5 linked regions of the Macaca fascicularis genome follow. The protein of the gene in region 1 purifies or fractionates together with the protein of each later gene. This does not show direct contact. Links are inferred from orthologs where the notes say so. Each region holds a gene or a part of one and is shown in the gene's direction. Other genes may lie near its edges.

What was found.
Region 2: the proteins of MYCBP (region 1) and ARFGEF1 purify together in Homo sapiens (co-immunoprecipitation; 4 studies listed by BioGRID and IntAct, with this or other methods). This does not show direct contact. The link is inferred for Macaca fascicularis from reciprocal best matches to the Homo sapiens genes MYCBP and ARFGEF1.
Region 3: the proteins of MYCBP (region 1) and OTUD4 purify together in Homo sapiens (co-immunoprecipitation; 3 studies listed by BioGRID and IntAct, with this or other methods). This does not show direct contact. The link is inferred for Macaca fascicularis from reciprocal best matches to the Homo sapiens genes MYCBP and OTUD4.
Region 4: the proteins of MYCBP (region 1) and SPAG5 purify together in Homo sapiens (co-immunoprecipitation; 3 studies listed by BioGRID and IntAct, with this or other methods). This does not show direct contact. The link is inferred for Macaca fascicularis from reciprocal best matches to the Homo sapiens genes MYCBP and SPAG5.
Region 5: the proteins of MYCBP (region 1) and ARFGEF2 purify together in Homo sapiens (co-immunoprecipitation; 4 studies listed by BioGRID and IntAct, with this or other methods). This does not show direct contact. The link is inferred for Macaca fascicularis from reciprocal best matches to the Homo sapiens genes MYCBP and ARFGEF2.

The regions. Positions count from the first base shown.
Region 1 is NC_088375.1:196,053,934-196,058,076, forward strand, and holds the start of MYCBP (C-Myc-binding protein), read left to right. Parts: upstream 1-1,335; 5' UTR 1,336-1,337; coding exon 1,338-1,421; intron 1,422-1,621; coding exon 1,622-1,694; intron 1,695-4,143. Other genes in the region: GJA9 (gap junction alpha-9 protein), read left to right, coding at 1-155. UniProt on the Homo sapiens protein: May control the transcriptional activity of MYC. Stimulates the activation of E box-dependent transcription by MYC.
Region 2 is NC_088382.1:77,203,194-77,206,708, reverse strand, and holds part of ARFGEF1 (brefeldin A-inhibited guanine nucleotide-exchange protein 1), read left to right. Parts: intron 1-721; coding exon 722-851; intron 852-2,450; coding exon 2,451-2,586; intron 2,587-2,668; coding exon 2,669-2,807; intron 2,808-3,515. UniProt on the Homo sapiens protein: Promotes guanine-nucleotide exchange on ARF1 and ARF3. Promotes the activation of ARF1/ARF3 through replacement of GDP with GTP. Involved in vesicular trafficking.
Region 3 is NC_088379.1:150,054,393-150,057,907, reverse strand, and holds part of OTUD4 (OTU domain-containing protein 4), read left to right. Parts: intron 1-299; coding exon 300-357; intron 358-607; coding exon 608-725; intron 726-821; coding exon 822-886; intron 887-3,515.
Region 4 is NC_088390.1:34,067,039-34,071,118, reverse strand, and holds the start of SPAG5 (sperm-associated antigen 5), read left to right. Parts: upstream 1-1,271; 5' UTR 1,272-1,340; coding exon 1,341-1,391; intron 1,392-1,651; coding exon 1,652-1,822; intron 1,823-4,080. UniProt on the Homo sapiens protein: Essential component of the mitotic spindle required for normal chromosome segregation and progression into anaphase. Required for chromosome alignment, normal timing of sister chromatid segregation, and maintenance of spindle pole architecture.
Region 5 is NC_088384.1:105,052,394-105,055,908, forward strand, and holds part of ARFGEF2 (brefeldin A-inhibited guanine nucleotide-exchange protein 2), read left to right. Parts: intron 1-1,529; coding exon 1,530-1,614; intron 1,615-1,718; coding exon 1,719-1,890; intron 1,891-2,510; coding exon 2,511-2,662; intron 2,663-2,781; coding exon 2,782-2,910; intron 2,911-3,515. UniProt on the Homo sapiens protein: Promotes guanine-nucleotide exchange on ARF1 and ARF3 and to a lower extent on ARF5 and ARF6. Promotes the activation of ARF1/ARF5/ARF6 through replacement of GDP with GTP. Involved in the regulation of Golgi vesicular transport.

The DNA.
Region 1 (4,143 bases):
TTGACATTCCAAACACAGCTGATTCTTTGGGAGGGCTGTCCTTTGAGCTAGGGTTGGTCAGAACCTGTAATAATCCTGTGTGTCCTCCAAATCACGTAGTGTCCCTAACGAACAATCTCATTGGTAGGCGGGTTCCCACAGATCTTCAGATCTAGACAGCGGTTGGCTTTTAGACATTGTATATATTATCAGAGAAGTAGCCTAGTGGTGGTGGGGCACGGACAAAATAGATATGGGCAGCTCTAAAGACCAGCTGTTAAGACAGACGGCAAACTCATTTCAGCAAGGGAAAAACAGCTCTAATTCTAGATTGTGAAAGAACACTTCTAAATCCAAAGACATAAGGTTGTCAAATCAGGATTTTTTTTTTTTTTAATGATATTCTTTCGAATGTGTGTAACTGATTTTGGGAATATCACATGTTCAGAACTGGGGCTAAATGGTTTGATCAGGTTTTCTCTTTGAAGAGACCACAGCCTTAGGACACGGTTCTTCATCTACATAATTCCACCTTGGACACTGGGTTAATTTTGTTTGCCCCTGAAACACAATCACGTAGTTTCCTTCTAGACTGCATCCTGATATGTCTCGAGTATAATCACATGTTGCTACCTAGTAAATAAAATCTTAAAAAGATCCGTGGCTTTCTTTCACCAGTTCATAGCATCGTGATTCATTGCCCGGATTGGACTCGGCTCTACTCACTGGACATCTAACCTCTCCACTTAATTAACAGTACGCACCCTACAAGGGTGTTGTGAGGATTAAAATTTAAAATACCCGTGTTTTCTACAGTGCCTGGCGCACAGCGCTCAAAAGCTATTGCAAGCTCGTTACTGCTCATTCTCCAGAAGCCCACATCAAGTCAGCCACGACTCAAGGAGACTCCAAAGATAAAAGCTGGAACCAAAATACATGATTCTAAACACCCTCCTCAGCTACTGCAAAGTCGTGAGCACTTTCTCAGGAAGAGAGCCAAAAAGTCCAGCACCTATGGGTCACCACAGTTTCCGAGGTCCCAGATGAGAAAAATGAGCTCGCTACCACCGTGCGGCGATCCTTCCTCTCGCAATAGTCCCAGTGCTCCCGGGCCCTGCCTCCGGACGCCAGTACAGAGTTACCAAAATCTCACCTCTTGCAAAGAAAACGAATCGCTACGGGGACCGGAAGAGGAAGAGGTGCGGCTCCAACAGCCAGAGGGGCGGGCATACGCAGCCTCCCTCGGCTCAGCCTGCAACGGGGGATGCAGAGCGTCCTGGTCGCCATGAAAACAGGCCACACCCCGGCGATCCCTGCCCGTGGTTCGCAAGTGCGCAGCCGCGCGCCCCCTTCCGCGCATGAGCAGTTCTGCTCCCAACCCGCCAGTCGCGGTCTCCGGCGCCAGCTACGCCGCTGCCGCTGTCACTATGGCCCATTACAAAGTGAGGGGGGCGCGGCGTGGCTGGGGGCATGCGGGCGGTAGCAAGCCGTTGGTCGGCTCTGGGTGGGAGTGGGGTCGCGCGCGCAGGTTTGGGCGGGAGGGCCCCGAGGTAGCGAGGCGGAGGCGGGGTTGCCAGACTCCTAGCACCTTCTTCCTGCTCGGCTCCCGGGCTCTGGCCACTGACCCCCGGTGTCTCTTCAGGCCGCCGACTCGAAGCGTGAGCAGTTCCGGAGGTACTTGGAGAAGTCGGGGGTGCTGGACACGCTGACCAAGGGTGAGCCTGGGCTAGGAGAGGGTACCTCGTGCCCTCGTCGTGCTCCCCGGCGCTGCCCCTTTCCCCAGCGGGCCGTAGCGTGGGGAAGGAGGGGAAACAGATGGGGCCCGTCCGGGGTCCAGCGAGGTGGGCCTCGGGGTTCGGTAGGGACCTGGCTGCTGGAGGCCGCCCGGGTGAGGTAGCCTAGCTACGCTACCCTTCTCTGCACTGGGAGTGAAACTCTTGCAGCTGTTGCAAAGTCTCTTCAACTTCCGTTGCTTTGCCTCGAGCAGCCGCAGTGGACATGTTTGCCAAAGACCTTCAGATCCCAATTCCTCCCACCTTACGGTTTTTGTGGAGTCCTCAGAATCTTGTTAAGAAACAGTTTCCCTCCAACAAAGAGCAACTGGAAAAATGACCGAATTTCAAAGTGGGCTATGAAATAGTTGAGTGAGCCTAATCCCCGAAGTAGGAGATGCATGGCCAATTTGGCTGTGGCTTTTCAGCCCCCATTCCTTAGTCTGTGTCAATTTTTATTTTGTGTATATTTCATAGTTAAAGTAGAATTACAGTTTAAAGAGCTCGAGGGCATATCAAAATGGTTACATTGTTTTCACTTTTTAAAATGAAAACTTACTGTTAACGCTGTATCTCTTCATTCGTGGCTTCGAGATCTAAGTAAGTAGATGAGTAAAGTGTCGGAAACAGGAGGATTCCAAGGGGTAGGGTACAGTTTACTTCATTAGCTTAACAGTAATTTAAATGCCTGCTATGTCACTTAACTCACTGGGATTTTCAAGGGTGTAGAATGGAATTGTTGGCAGGGATCAGGACTTGGGTCAAACTAGGAAGTTTGGGAAGTGTGGGAAATAAGTAGGTAACTGCTCTTTGGACAGAAGCAAAGTTTAGAGGAAAATTCTAGGAGCATAACTCCTGGGTCTTAGCAGAAAGCAGGCTAGTAATTTTGAATTGTTACCTATTTGGGGTTCAGATAATAGTTTACCTCTTTGCAAATAAACTTCAGCAAGTATTAAGGGACTACTCTGAAAGTACTGTGCTATGTTGTCTCTGGAAGTGTCACAGATGCTTTGAATGTCATTCCCTCTAAAAACTCCATAAGTTCATTTCTTTCATTTAATCATTTTACTCAGGCATCTGTTCTGCACACTGGAGATAAGCAGAGGAGGATAAAAGTCTCGGCTCTCATAAGCTTATGTCCTAGTTGAGGGAGACAAATACATAAATACCTAGTGTCAGCTAGAGGTAAGTGTTACAGATAAAAATACAGCAGAAGTTAGGGATAAAGAGTAACAGGTGAGGCCAGGCACGTGGCTCATGCCTGTAGTCTTAGCACTTTGGGAGGCTGAGGTGGGTGGACTGCTAGAGCCCAGGAGTTCAAGAGCAGTCTGGGCAACATGGCAAAACTCCCGTCTCTTAAAAGAAAAAATTGCTGGGCATGGTGTGTGCCTGTAATTTAGCTACTCTGGAGGCTGAGGTGAGAGAATCACTTGAACCCAAGAGGTCAAGGGTCCAGTGAGTTGTGATTGTGCCCCTGGGCAACAGTGACACTCTTTCTCAAAAAAAAAAAAACAAGTGACAGGTGGGATGTGTGTGTCATTTTATATAGGGTGGTGGGGGGAAGGCCTTTCTTAAGTACTTTTGAGCAGAAACCTGAAAGAAACAATATCTGTCAAGAGTTTCAGGAAGTATAAGGAGGCCAGAGTGGTTGGATGGAGCAAGCGAAAGATTGAATGGTAAAAGGCAGAAAAATGACAGTTGTAGGAGGTAACTGACTACACAGAAGATGTTGCCCAAGCTGGAGTGCAGCGGCATGATCTCAGCTGACTGCAGCCTCCACCTCCGGGTTCAAGCGATTGTCCTGCCTTAGCCTCCCAAGTAGCTGGGACTACAGGCATGCGCCACCATGCTCAGCTAATTTTTTGTATTTTTAGTAGAGACGAGGTTTCACCAGGTGGGCCAGGCTGGTCTTGAACTCCTTACCTTGCCTCAGCCCCTCAAAGTGCTGGGATTACAAGTGTGAGCCATCGCGCCTGGCCTCCACTAGAATTTAACCTTTTAATCTCCTTAGATTTCCAGGCTCCTAAATAACATCAGCCAACACAGTATTGACGTGATTTATTAAAAATTTGATTTTCAGCTTCAAACACAGGTGCTTTATACAATTCTATTTGTTTTTACTTTTTATTTTTTTTTGAGACAATCTCACTCTGTCACCTAGGAATGCCTGGCCTCAAGTGATCCTCCTGTCTTAGCTTCCCCAAGTGTTGATGTTATAGGCATGACCCACTGTGCCCAGCCTCACAAATTTAATTTACATATATATATATTTTTTTGAGACAAGGTCTCTGTCGCCCAGACTGGAGTGCAGTGGTGCAGTCACGTCTCACTGCAGTCTTAATCTCCCAGGTTCAAGCAATTCTTCCACCTCAGACACCCAAGTAGCTGGGAC
Region 2 (3,515 bases), on another chromosome or scaffold:
AGAGAAAAGATTAAAGTTTCTAATGGTTACATAAAAGTATTATTTCAAGAAACAGGAAGGAATGAAGAAGAAAGTTTTGAGTTTCAGTTTTAACACTTACACAAAAGCTACTCAATGTGATGCTAAGCAATTTATTTAGCAAATATTTATTGTTTGCCTTCCAGGCAATGAGCACTGCTGTGTGCCTGGGATATAGCAAGAAATGAAACACAGAAAGACCCCTTAGTGGATTTGTTTTGTAAATCCTTTTGTTTGGGGATGTTGCATGAATAAGGCTTCTAGTATTGGGTGAAAATCCCCATAGTTCTTTGAAAAAGATTTTCCAAAATCTAACTTTTGTTTTGTTCTTAGACTGCTATATATGTATTTTCTTTTTTGGCTGTAGAACCACAAAATTAATATTCACTCAAACAATTATCGTTTTCAATCTGTAATTCCATTTACAGTTTTTAAATGCTGCAATGGTGAGGTAAGAGTAAAGGAAAAGTAAAATTAAAAAGTTTACGGCCAAGACCTTTGGAGATTTTTTTTTCCTGAATGATATATCTTAAAGGAACCTGTTGTTCTTACAACTTAACTTTTTTAAAACCCAGTGTCGTGTGTTAATTTCAGACTAGTTTTAAGCTTTCTGGTTTTAGTAGCTTTGTGAACTATAAAAACTATTTTAGGAGGAGTATGCTTTTTTGTATTATAGCTTTCTAATTGTGTTTTGTCATTTTAGGGGTTTAACAGTAATGTTTGAAATAATGAAAACATATGGCCACACTTATGAGAAACACTGGTGGCAGGATTTATTTAGAATTGTTTTCCGAATCTTTGACAATATGAAATTGCCAGAACAACAGACAGAGGTAAGAGGATACACAATTTTCATTTAGCTTAGTCAAGTTAAAAGATCCTCAGTATTATCATCAATACATTTTAGTGTTTCAAATTAAGTACAGAAGAGAATTCCTAGAAAATTTTTCTTTAAGGCATGAGAATATAATACTATGTCTTTATAAATAAGAACACTGGCTGGGCACAGTGGCTCACGCCTGTAATCCCAGCACTTTGGAAGGCCAAGGCGTGTGGATCGTCTGAGGTCAGGAGTTTGAGACCAGCCTCACCAACATGGTGAAACCCCATCTCTACTAAAAATACAAAAATTATCCAGGTGTGGTGGCAGGTGCCTGTAGTCCCAGCTACTTGGGAGGCTGAGGCAGGAGAATCGTTTGAACCCGGGAGGTGGAGGTTGCCATGAGCTGAGATTGTGCCACTGCACTGCAGCCTGGGTGACCAGCGAAACTCCGTCTCAAAAAAGAAAAAGAATGCTATGTGGGGGATAGAACTGAATTAATGAATTGATTTTTTTGTTCTGTTTTGTTTTTAGTGTTTTTCTGACTTTTCCATTTCTTTTCCTCGTTTCGACAGTCAAAACTATAAAACGTCAGTAACTTTCTTTTTTTTTTTTTTTTGAGACGGAGTTTTGCTCTGTCGCCCAGGCTGGAGTGCTGTGGCCAGATCTCAGCTCACTGCAAGCTCCGCCTCCCGGGTTTACGCCATTCTCCTGCCTCAGCCTCTCGAGTAGCTGGGACCACAGACGCCCGCCACCTCGCTCGGCTAGTTTTTTGTATTTTTTAGTAGAGACGGGGTTTCACCGTGTTAGCCAGGATGGTCTCCATCTCCTGACCTCGTGATTCGCCCGTCTCGGTCTCCCAAAGTGCTGGGATTACAGGCTTGAGCCACCGCGCCTGGCCAATAACTTTCTTTAGTATTATATAGTGACTTCTTTTTTATGTAAAAAGTAAGGAATACAAAGTAAATTTTATTTATTTCGACATATTTTACTATGAACCAGTTACAATATACATTTTAGGAAACGTGTCAAGAGAGCTTCATATTTTCCCCTTTTGTTCCATACAGCAGTGTTAAATGCAGACTTCTGTGATTATTTTTTATGGGTTTGAAAAAATAAATTACACTTATTTTGTATAGCCCTTTTTTTATGGTGTTTTCAGATAACCCATACTTCAGGAAAGTCATTTTTATTTTAAACCTATGCTAACCCCATTTGGACAAATTCTTACCTCCTTATTTCCCTTTCATATTCTGTCATGGTCTAGAGCAAGGCTGGCTGTTGCTATTCATGCACTTTGAAAAATCATAATGTTAATATCAAGATGATACGGTGATGGTTTTTTTTAATAAAACAAATAGTGCCAAAAATAGTTAAATTATTGTATGCATAGATGGTTATGGGATAATGAGGAGCAATAGATACCAGATTTTAAGTTAAGGTGAATGTAACGTTCTAGAGGGAATTCAGTGGTCTAAAAGGAACACTGACAGCCTTACATTTTAAATATGAAAACATTTATATATATATATGTGTATATATATATGTATATCTTTTTAAATCATAGTAGTTGATTAATGGCATGATGTTCATTAATGACTTTTTTCCCCAGAAAGCTGAATGGATGACAACAACTTGCAATCATGCACTTTATGCAATCTGTGATGTATTCACTCAGTATTTAGAAGTACTCAGTGATGTACTTTTGGATGATATTTTTGCTCAGCTCTACTGGTGTGTGCAGCAAGGTAGGTCTGTACCAGATATGTGACACAAAGTGTTAAATGTGACCCTGGTAATATATAAATGAATTGCTCTTTTCTTTCCTAGACAATGAGCAGTTAGCACGATCTGGTACAAACTGTTTAGAGAATGTTGTTATTCTGAATGGTGAAAAATTTACCCTAGAAATCTGGGATAAAACTTGCAACTGCACACTGGATATCTTCAAAACCACAATCCCACATGCGTAAGAAGATTTTATACAACTTTACATTTATATTTGTATATTGAATGAGTTGGAGAGTGACTAGTGATTAAAAGTTTGATAGTAACTACTGATTTCTCGTAACAGAAATCCTTTTAAGCTTGTCTTACTCTTTTATGGATTTAGATTTATTACAAACCAAACTGCTATAAACTATAACAAATACATGAATTAAACTATTTGTAAACCAAAACCTTTAGTCTGGTTATCCAAAATTTGGGACATAGTGAAGTGATTCCGCTGACTTTTATAAGATTTTATTTATTCAGATCAAACCAAGCAGTGGTTTTGAATTGGGAAAAAAAAAATCTCAGCCTGTTTCTGTTACTGATCTTTTAATAATCTAAGGAAAATGTATTTACACATATTTCATATTTTATAACAGCTTGTCATTTTTCTCTAAGGGATGAGTGTGAAATGGAATTATAGTGAGGCAGGGTTTTTTTTTTTTTTTTTGAGATGGAGTTTCATTCTTGTTTCCCAGACTGGGGTGCAATGGTGTGATCTCAGCTTACCACACCTCCGCCTTTGGGTTCAAGCGATTCTCCTGCCTCAGTCTCCCCAGGTAGCTGGGATTACAGGCATACACCACCATGCCCGGCTAATTTTGTATTTTTAGTAGAGATGGGGTTTCTCCACGTTGGTCAGGTGGTCTCGAACTCCCAACTTCAGGTGATCCACCCACCTCGG
Region 3 (3,515 bases), on another chromosome or scaffold:
GTAAATTCAATTATTCTACCCACCCAGATTTCACAGTTTATTTCTGTTCTCTTACTGATTACTGAGCCAGTTAGAATTACTGTTGTCTTTGACTTCTATCTTATATATATATACATTTACATACATATACTCTTTTATATATAGATATATTTATACCAAAACTTGTATGAGCTCACTGGAATATAGCTCTGACTTTTTGGAGCATAATTCTGACTTTGAAGACTTTTAGATGAAGTTAGAAGGTAATTACATGCAAATACCTTTTTTCTGCCCCTAATTATGGTTATCTTTCTTTGTAGGAGTAAAACTGCTGCTGCTGCTGATGTGAATGGATTTAAACCTTTGTCAGACAATGAGGTATTTTTTTTTAAAGTGGTTTTAAAACTAGCTCTTTAATATAAGAAAGCATATACATTAAAATCTTAATTTTTTTTTCTTTTTTCTGGTACATTTCAGTCAAGTCAGGATCATCTAAGAAATTGATTTGGTGGCTTCCTAGTTTTTTGAAGTTTCTTTTCTTCATTTGACTTTAGTTTTACATGTATCTCAAACAAAAATGTTTTAAAAGCACTTGTGTTGATTGGACTTCTTGACTTTGTTTGTTTAGCAGCTGAAGAACAATGGGAACTCTACTAGCCTGCCTTTGTCTAGAAAGGTTCTTAAGTCACTCAATCCTTCAGTCTATAGAAATGTGGAATATGAAATTTGGCTGAAGTCTAAACAAGGTGAGTTAAAAATCTGCATTTTCCATAAATTTGCTTTGTAGCACTTGAAAATAAGTCAACTTTATATTATACTGACCTTTTTTTTTTTTTTAACAGCTCAGCAAAAACGTGATTATTCCATTGCTGCTGGCTTACAATATGAAGTTGGAGACAAATGTCAAGTAAGTGACTCATGTAAAATAAGAGATTTTACTTGAAACCTTGCTTTTTCTAATATGAACCGAGAAAACAACTTTGGGATTTCAGAATATATTTATTATGTATATACATTTTAGTAGTTTACAAGTATTTAGCTTTTTGACTCATTTGAATACATTGTTAAAATTGTATGTATCTGAAACTGGCATTCCATCACATGATCTTTAAAAACAATTCAGCCTTTGGTATTAACTTGGTTCAAAGAAGTAATGATAATAACATATCAGATATTGAGGTTTTTTTGTTAAAATTGACTGAAATTGATTCAAAATTGACTATAGGTCATTTAGTTTTGTTTATGAAAATCATCTTGGATGATGTTGGTACATACATAATGTTTACTGTTGGACTGAGGAAGGAAAGTGAACCACAGAGAAGTTTTTGCCAATTAATTTGAATATGCAGCTGCCCTGGGTTTGAGTAGCTGATGGTTAAAAGGAGAAAGTTGGATTAAAATCAGTGTTTCTTAATCTAGTAGTTAACCCCCTCACTTCCTCCCCTGCCCCCCCTACCCCCACTGAACATTCAGCAGTGTCGAGAAATTTTTTACTGTCACAACTGGGAGGGTGCTACTGACATCTAGTGGGTAGAGGCCAAAGCTGTAGCCAAATAGTCTACAGTGCACAGAACAGCCTCCCTCATCTCCCTCTAACAAAGAATACCTAGTCCAAAGTGTCAGTAATGCTTAGGCAGAAGAAACCCTAGGTAAGATAATTTACAAGGTCTCTTCTTGTTTTTTGTTCCTTGTTTATGGAAAAATATTGCTATTTCAAAAACAAAAACAAAACCACATACACAAAAAATGTTATGTGGAAGTTAATTCTCATCAGAAATTATTTCCATCAAAAAGTGTTGCCTTTTAAAAAACAACTTTAAAACAGCCATTGGCAAACATTTATTTTTGACTTACAGAGGAAACATTTACTTTATGATAAATTGGCTTTTGTGAAGTCATCTGATTAGCCAGGATTTTATCTTAAGAACCTTTAATAGTTCTCATTCTGGGGTATTTAAAGGTGAGGAAAAAGAGAACATGATTCATTCAGGTACTGCCTTATGGGATTGTCATAAATCTGCTCTAATTGTAGAAGGAAATTGTGGAAGCTTTTACTACATTGATTGGGAAAACTTGAAAGAGAACAAACGAGATTAAATCCAGGGTTTAAAGGTCTCTCTCCTCACCCTTCTCAACAGAGAAGAGAAGATGGCTTATGCTGTATCATTAAAGTCATGTTATTTTAAGTCAAGCATATTTCCTTTGAGGTTGAAATTGCTTTTGGTAAAGGAGGTGCTTTTGATAAAGTAAATGGAAAAGCACATGCTTTTTTTTTTTCCTTTTTAAAGTATTTTATTTCCATCTGTACTACTTGACCATTTTATTTGGATAACATGGTCATTGGATAATTTGGATAAAATTTTAAGAAACTGAGATGACTCTAAGGTGACTTTTGTTTACTCGAGTGTGTAAGATGTAGTTTAAACTTTTGATTAGAACTAAGTTCAGAAAATTTTTTTATTGTGAAACTTTTGAAGGAAAAATGTCTTGTCATTGATGAAGAATGAAATATCAGCTTGAGGACTTTGGTTTACTACTAAAAGTGGGAGTTTGCTTAAAGCATTGTCCTGTATGTTGTACTTGGCAGGTACACAATTCAGTGTGGGCAATATAACAATAGGAAGAAAACTTAGGCTTTTTTCCTCTTTTATCAAGGATTTACAGTTGCGTAATATTAATTGCAAGAGAACAGTTAATGGATCTATTTTTAGGGATAAAAATCACAGTTACACGTTTTTAATATAGGAAAAATGGGAAGATAATAATTGTAATAATAGTTGCTCTCACTTGTAGAGTGGTTGCTGTGTGCAAATTATGTGTATCCTCTTACGTGTATCCTGTGCACCCTCATTCCATCTCCATGAGTTCTGTGACGTAGGTACTATTATTAGCTCCATTTTGCATTATGAGGAAACTGAAAGGAGAGAAAAATAACTTGCCCATGGTCATGTTGCTGGCGAGTGGAAAAGCCATACCTGGAAGCCTGGGGTATGTGGGACCATAGCCCTGCCTTCAGAACCAGGGCATGTTGCCTCTTTTGTTTAGAGCCTTAACATATTGTGCTCCTACTTTTTGAACAATTTAGAAAATCAGTTTAGAAAAGAATTTAGAGGGACAAAGAAGAAAAGGTTTTCTTTCTTTTAGGTAGGAGATATGGAGGTCTGGGAGGTTAAGGAGATGGATTTTATTGTAGACCTCTTTGGACTTACTTTGTTTTTTTTTTGTTTTTTTTGAGACGGAGTCTTGCTCTGTCACCCAGGCTGGAGTGCAGTGGCCGGATCTCAGCTCACTGCAAGCTCCGCCTCCCGGGTTTACGCCATTCTCCTGCCTCAGCCTCCCGAGTAGCTGGGACTACAGGCGCCCGCCACCGCGCCCGGCTAGTTTTTTGTATTTTTAGTAGAGACGGGGTTTCACCGTGTTAGCCAGGATGGTCTCGATCTCCTGACCTCGTGATCCGCCCGCCTCGGCCTCCCAAAGTGCTGGGATTACAGGCTTGAGCCACCGCGCCCGGCTACTTTGTTTTTACTGATAAACTT
Region 4 (4,080 bases), on another chromosome or scaffold:
TTTTTTTTTTTTTTGTAGACATAGGTCTCACTATATTGCTTAAGCAGGTCTCGAACTCCTGGGTTTAAAGGATCCCCCTGCCTCTGCCTCCTCCGTGCGGGGATTACAGGCAGGAGCCATGGCACCTGGTGCTATTTTGCATTCTTTTTTTCATACGAAGTGTTTGAAATCCAGTTTGTACAGTGTTTTACATTTATAGCACATTCCCACTGGGACTAGTCACATTTGAGGTGCTCAAAAGCCACTATGGCTAGGGCTAATGTATTGGACAACACAGTGCTAGGGAGCCCGTCCTGAGGACGCTGCAGTTTATAACATCATAGTTCCTACTCTTTGGACTGCTGCTTTCCCCCAATGTATTAAGACTTGCAGAGTGTAAATAGGGCGCCGTGAGTGTGCAAAGGAACACACCTTCGCAAACGGCTCACTCTGAATACTTACTTTTCGGCTGTCCTACCTTCAATAGGCTTCCCGTGCACAAGCAGAAGGCAGGAGCTGGCGGGGCGGGGAGGAAGGGCGGCTCTGCCATTTAACTATCTGTGCGATGCTGAGCAAATTACACACGGTCTCACTGACTCAGCTCCTTCCTGTTTCAAATGGGTATTATAGTATTTCTCACTACGTAGGTCCTTATGCGGATTAAATGAGCTACTACACGCCATTCGGCACAGCGCCAGGCACACACTCAATGTTCAATACATGTAGGCGGTAAGCCCAGTAAACTGGTAGCCGGCCTGAGCAAGTCCCAGGAAAAGCCCAGAAACTCTGGAGACATTACAGCCCAGGTCAAGAACCACGGCCCAGGCCGTCCTGTACGCGGGCCCGCCAAGCCTAGGGAAGCAGCTTGTCACCGCTTCGGCTTCTAGACTCCCTGGCCGGCTCTTTCCCGTCAAGGCTGCGGCTGGAGGGGCCTGAGGGAGACCTAGGGAGCGGCTTCCTCTTTCCATCCACGGAGACAACTTGGATGTGAACACCATGAATGTGAGGAGGTCCACTGGAATCAGGAGGGATGGACTCCTGGACTCCCCAGCTACCTGCGGGGTCCTTCCCGGTGTGAGGACACAAGACCTGTCCTGGGCCGGGCCCGCATCCAGCCCTACAGTCGGTGTCTGCGGTGAGGGCTCCGTCAGCGGAAAGCGCGTGACAATCCACGGGCTGGCAGGACCGGGGGCGTGGTCAACGCGGGACCCGCCCCCCGTCCCCGGGCCCCAGCGCCGAGCGGACGCGCCCGCCTGAAGCAGCCAATTGGGAAGCGCAGAGCAGGTTCAAACACAGACGGCGGGTGAACATGGCGTCCTCGACTTGGTTTGAGACGTGATCGGCCTGCCTTCTGGCTGAAGATGTGGCGGGTGAAAAAACTGAGCCTTAGCCTGTCGCCTTCGCCCCAGACGGTGAGCGGGAAAGCTCCGGCGGAGAGAGCTGGGCCGGGCTGCTGGCGCGGGGGCACCGGCCGTGTCGACTGTCCTGGAAAGTTGGGTCGAGCCCGGGGTTGGGTGCTTGTGGAGTCTTTGTTCGCCTTGCCGCTCCTGCGCGACTAGAATGCGAGCCTACTCTTCTAATCGCCTCTTGGGCTTCTTAGGGAGGGAGGAAGGGCGGGCTAGCAGAGCCCAGGCTTCCTCACACTAGCCCTCTTTCTTGATTTCTTTCTTAGGGAAAACCAGCTATGAGAACTCCTCTCCGCGAACTTATCCTGCAGCCCGGTGCCCTCACCAACTCTGGAAAAAGGCCCCCCGCTTGCTCCTCGCTGACCCCATCACTGTGCAAGCTGGGGCTGCAGGTGAGATTCGCCTGGACAGCTTCTCGACTGGGCTGTTTGCCCAGGGTGAGAGCTCAGGGGAACAGAGGGCCAGGGCTAGAATAATTAATAACGATAATGAAGTCTTCTACGTCACTGACATCCATTTACAGCTATTCAGGCCAACAGAGAGGTGCCCTAGGGTGGTTAAAGGAAATCTACTGAGAACCTGAATCTCTGTTTAGCTGTTAGTTTTTATTACCTCCTCCTCCTCCTCCCTTCGACCTTTATCAAACTACTTAGAAATCCTGCCACTCTGATTAGTGCTCTTCCTCCAACATGGGGTCACTTATGGAAAGGTCAGTCAGCTGTAAGATTGAGGCAATATCCATTCACTCTAGGAGGTAGTCAGAACTCTCCTGGGATCAAGTTACACCACTGGAAGGCAGGGTACTTGGATCACCTTAGTTTAAACTAGCCCCTTGCAGAATTGCCCTCACCGATTTGTACTTTTGTTAAACGTCTTGAGAGATGTAGCCATGTAGAAACTGCATTTCAGTTGCTGTCAAAACTTGTCAAGGAAGAAGCTTGACTCCTGTATAAGATTCCTCAAAGAAAGGCTTTGGGACTAACTGCCTGGAAAAATTGTCTTCCTGAAGAAATTGCTATCCTTTTCTTTCTGATAATGAGAACTATGCAGTTTACCATATTTTCCCTCTTGCTCTGCCTTCTAGAAAGCTCAAGGCCAAACTGGATCATCACATACAGCTACTGTTACTCGCAAAATAGGAAGTTTTGCTTCCTCTTTTTTGACCATGACTTTGTTATTTCATTAATCATATCTATTCATTTTCATGCATATGAATTATTTTTGGAAGGAGATGGGATATCAGTAAAATTGGTTTGAGGAGGAAAGAGTGTATAAAGACAGATGACATCCTGAGTAACAGTAGGATGATAGCAGTCTTTCTTGAAAGAGTTGCAAAATACCTACTGTCCAATAGAACTTTCTGGGATGAGGGAAATATTTGATAATCTGTGCTGTCCAGCATGGTAACTACTAGTCACATGGTTACCGAGCACTTAAAATGTGGCTGAGGTGACTGAAGAATTGAATTTTTTTGTTTTTGAGATGGGAGTCTTGCTCTGTCACCCAGGCTGGAGTGCAGTGGAGTGATCTTGGCTCACTGCAATCTCTGCCTCCAGGGCTCAAGGGATTCTCCTGCCTCAGGCTCCTGAGTAACTGGGATTACAGGTGCATGCCACCACACCCAGGTAATTTTTTGTATTTTTAGTAGAGATAGGGTTTCACAATGTTGGCCACGCTGGTCTCAAACTCCTGACCTCAACTGGTCCGCCTGCCTCGGCCTTCCAAAGTGCTGGGATTACAGGTGTGAGCCGCTGCGCCTGGCCTGAAGAATTGAATTTTTAATTAAATTAAATTAAATTTTTTTTTTTTTTTTTTTGAGATGGAGTTTCGCTCTTGTTGCCCAGGTTGGAGTGCAATGGTGTGATCTCGGCTCACTGCAACCTCTGCCTCCCGGGTTCAAGCAATTCTCCTGTCTCAGCCTCCGGCATGTGCCACCACGCCCAGCTAATTTTTGTATTTTCAGTAAAGATGGGGTTTCTCCACGTTGATCGGGCTGGTCTCGAACTCATGACCTCAGGTGATCTGCCCGCCTTTGCCTCCCAAAGAGCTGGGATTATAGGCGTGAGCCACTGCGCCTGGCCTGAATTTTTAATTTAAATAGCTACGTGTGACAGGTAGCTATCATATTAGACAGTACAGCTTAAGGTGGAAAATAAATAAGTACTAGGTAGAAATTGAGCTCTATAGAGCTTATAGAATTTATTATGATTATTAATTAATTTATTTATTTTGAGATGCAGTTTCGCTCTTGTTCCGTAGGCTAGAGTGCAATGGCATGATCTTGGCTCACTGCATCCTCTGCCTCCTCGGTTCAAGCGATTCTCCTGCCTCAGCCTCCCTAGTAGCTGGGATTACAGGCATGTGCCACCACGCCTGGCTAATTTTCGTATTTTTAGTAGAGATGGGGTTTTGCCATATTGGCCAGGCTGGTCTCGAATTCCTGACCTCAGGTGATCCACCTGCCTCAGCCTCCCAAAGTGTTGGGATTACAGGCAGGAGCCACAGCGCCTGGCCTGAGCTTATAGAATTTAACCATGATTATTTAATCACAATAGCAGAATACTAGATTGAAATTGAATTCTCCTTCCCTCTTAACTACTGGGCGTACTACCTTCAGATGTAGTCAGCTACTCGATGAAAAGGGTTTTTCCCCAACAAAATAGCCATTATTTTTGTTTTGTAAAAAAAATTTTTT
Region 5 (3,515 bases), on another chromosome or scaffold:
AGCCTGGATCTCCTGGGCTCGATCAGTCCTCCCACCTCAGCCTCCTGAACTGCTGGGACTACAGGTGGATGCCACTGTGCCTGGCTAATTTTTTGTATCGTATTTCTGCAGAGAGAGAGTTTCACCATGTTGCCCAGTCTGGTCTTGAACTCCTAGCCTCAAGGGATCCCCCTGCCTCGAACTCCCAAAGTGGGAGATTTACAAATGTGAGCTACCACACCTGGTTGAAACATTTTAATAACCGTTTTGCCTCTCCAGTCAACTTTGTTTTCATATTAATTGCTCCCAGTCTTCCAAGTATATGGCAGGCTGTCCCCAGGAGGTGGCAGGATTGGCAAAGGCAGCATATGATCATTTTAACCAAAGGGACATTAGAACTCTCTGTGAAGGCATAATTAGATGCTGTTTACTTTAAACGTATCTCTTATGTGGACCTGGAAGCCTTGGTCTGTTTTGCTTAGTCGGTCAATATGTGACCCAGTTTCATCTCATACTAAAATACCTTTGTTGTGTTCTTCAAAATTTCTACTGTTTCTGTTATGGACAGTTTGGACAGAACAGTTTCTAGCTTCAGCCTCATATTGTATGAGGCTGTGCATCCACATGTTGCTGTCCTTCTCTTCTTGACTAAGGCAAAAAAGTCAGACTTCACCAGCATATTTTTTAGAACAACATAAATATTTTCCATGGTATTTCTACTGTTCAATGTTATAATGGATAATATAGACTATAACTAACAGCTAAACAGCAGTTTTAGTCATCTTTATATCTCATGTCTAGCACAGTGCATGGCACAAAATAGATGTTCTCAGGAACAGGACAGGGTGCGGGGAGGCACTCAAGGCACTTAGTGTGTGAAATGTGGTGAGTTGCCCTCTAGGTCGGCACCAAGTGTAAGATCTCCTGACCTGCTCACTTGCCTCGCCCTAGTCTTGGCCCCAGATGCTTCTTAGAGTCTTTTTAAAAAAATTATTTGAAATTGCTTTATTCAAAGAAGGCTAAATTTTAATTAATTATTTATTTATTTATTTTGAGACCGTCTCACTCTGTCACCCAGGTTGGAGTGCAGTAGCGCAGTCTCGGCTCACTGCAACCTTCACCTCCCAGGTTCAGGCGATTCTCCTGCCTCAGCCTCCTGAATAGCTGGGATTATGGGCAGCTGCCACCACTCCCAGCTAAGTTTTGTATTTTTAGTAGAGACGGGGTTTCACCATGTTGGCCAGGCTGGGCTCGAACTCCTGACCTCAGGTGATCCACCCACCTCTGCCTCCCAAAGTGCTGGGATGACAGGCCTGAGCCACCACGCCCTGCCAAAGAAGCCTAAAATTTGATACAGATTGTTAATGAGCTTTTTCTACACTCTGGGTTGCTAAGTCTTATTCAGTGATGATGAAAGCGTAAAAACTCTTGCCTCATTTGGAATCAAGGGGAGTAATCGGCTGCTTTTCTCATGAAGTGTGTCTCTGTTAGCATTGTATCTTCTAAACCTCATCACTATGAATATTGATATCTCGAATTTTTTTCTCCAGGCAAACTCTGTTTGCTAGTGCTGACACTGCTTATGTCCTAGCATATTCAATTATTATGCTAACTACAGACTTGCACAGTCCTCAGGTAAAGTAGTTCAATGATTTACATGTTGTAGTAGCTAAATAAGTGGCTTTACTTGGGCAATTGAATGTTTTTAAAATGGTTTTTAATTTTTTTTAAAATTACAGGTAAAAAATAAAATGACAAAAGAGCAGTATATTAAAATGAATCGGGGTATCAATGATAGTAAAGATCTGCCAGAAGAGTATCTCTCAAGCATCTATGAAGAGATAGAAGGCAAGAAAATTGCAATGAAAGAAACAAAAGAGCTCACGATTGCTACCAAATCTACTAAGCAGAGTAAGGTCTAATGGCAAATTATTTCTTTTAGTTCTAATTTGTTAGTGTATCAGAGTGCATGATTAGATACTCTGGTGATAAATTTAATGTGCATATCTAGATATCTGAATAGGAAATGTGATTGAACTAATTCTTGTGATTATGTTAGGTCTTTTATAATGTCACTGTCTTGCTAGATTTCTGATGAGGAGCAAGAAGGAATTTGAAATTAGTAATCTGAGAACTAAATTACTCCCAAAAAGTGTTCCTTAAAACTTCACTTTAATTCAGTGGTGATTGTGCCCACCTTGATTAGAATTCTATTAGTTATGGCCCCTGGGGAGCTGTCAGTTTCACCGTTTGAGAAGCAGCAAAGGGTAGTGGTTTAGAGTGCAGGCTCTAGAGCCACACTGCCTTAGATCAAGTCCCAGCTCCTCTACTTAGTAATTGTATGACCCTGGGCAAGTGACTTACCTGCTCATTTTTCCCATCCGTTAAATGGTAATAATATTTGTAACGGACTCACGAGATGGTTGGGAGGATTTAGGAGTTAATCATTGTGTATCTTTTGAAACAGTGCATGGCATGTAGCCAGCCCTCAGGTGATGGCTGGCCACACCTATCGTGCTCTTACTTTATAGATGTAGCTAGTGAAAAGCAGCGGCGGCTCCTGTACAACTTAGAGATGGAGCAAATGGCTAAAACAGCCAAAGCTCTGATGGAGGCTGTGAGCCATGCAAAAGCCCCGTTTACGAGTGCCACTCACCTGGACCACGTCCGCCCAATGTTCAAAGTGAGTATCCTGAGAACTCAGCAAGCATGTGGCTAAGCCTGATTCTGAAGCTGGCCAGCTAGAAGTACTCTTTCCACGCTGAAACTCTGGATGTTACTGAAACCTTCCTTCCTTGATAGCTGGTGTGGACGCCACTATTGGCAGCCTACAGCATCGGACTCCAGAACTGTGACGACACTGAAGTGGCCTCCTTGTGTTTGGAAGGTATCCGATGTGCAATCCGAATTGCCTGCATCTTTGGAATGCAGGTAGGTGTTAAGTCAGCAACGCTCCAGAGATACTGGTGGGTTGTGTTCTTTTAGATTTGGCAAAACTTAGAAATGATCAGAAATTTTCAGTTAATCAAGAGTCTTAGCAAACTACTTACTCATGCCTACTGACAAGAAATCCATAGCTTTGTGATGACAGCTCATTAGGGGCAAAAATGGAGATACGGATTAAAACTGTCTTTAAGAATGGGTAGGCTGGGCACGGTGGCTCACGCCTATAATCCCAGCACTTTGGGAGACCGAGGCAGGCAGATAACCTCAGGTCGGGAGTTCGAGACCAGCCTGACCAACATGGAGAAACCCCGTCTCTACTAAAAATACAAAATTAGCCGGGCGTGGTGGTACGTGCCTGTAATCCCAGCTACTCGGGAGGCTGAGGCAGGAGACTGGCTTGAACCCAGGAGGTAGAGGTTGCGGTGAGCCGAGATTGCACCATTGCACTCCAGCCTAGGCAACAAGAACGAAACTCCATCTCCAAAAAAAATAAGGATAGGTAGTGTCCAAGCTACTTGACTGGCTTAGACAAAACAGACTTCCTGTTCATCTGCCTAACTTACCTGCTTTGGTGCTTAAAAATGCTATTT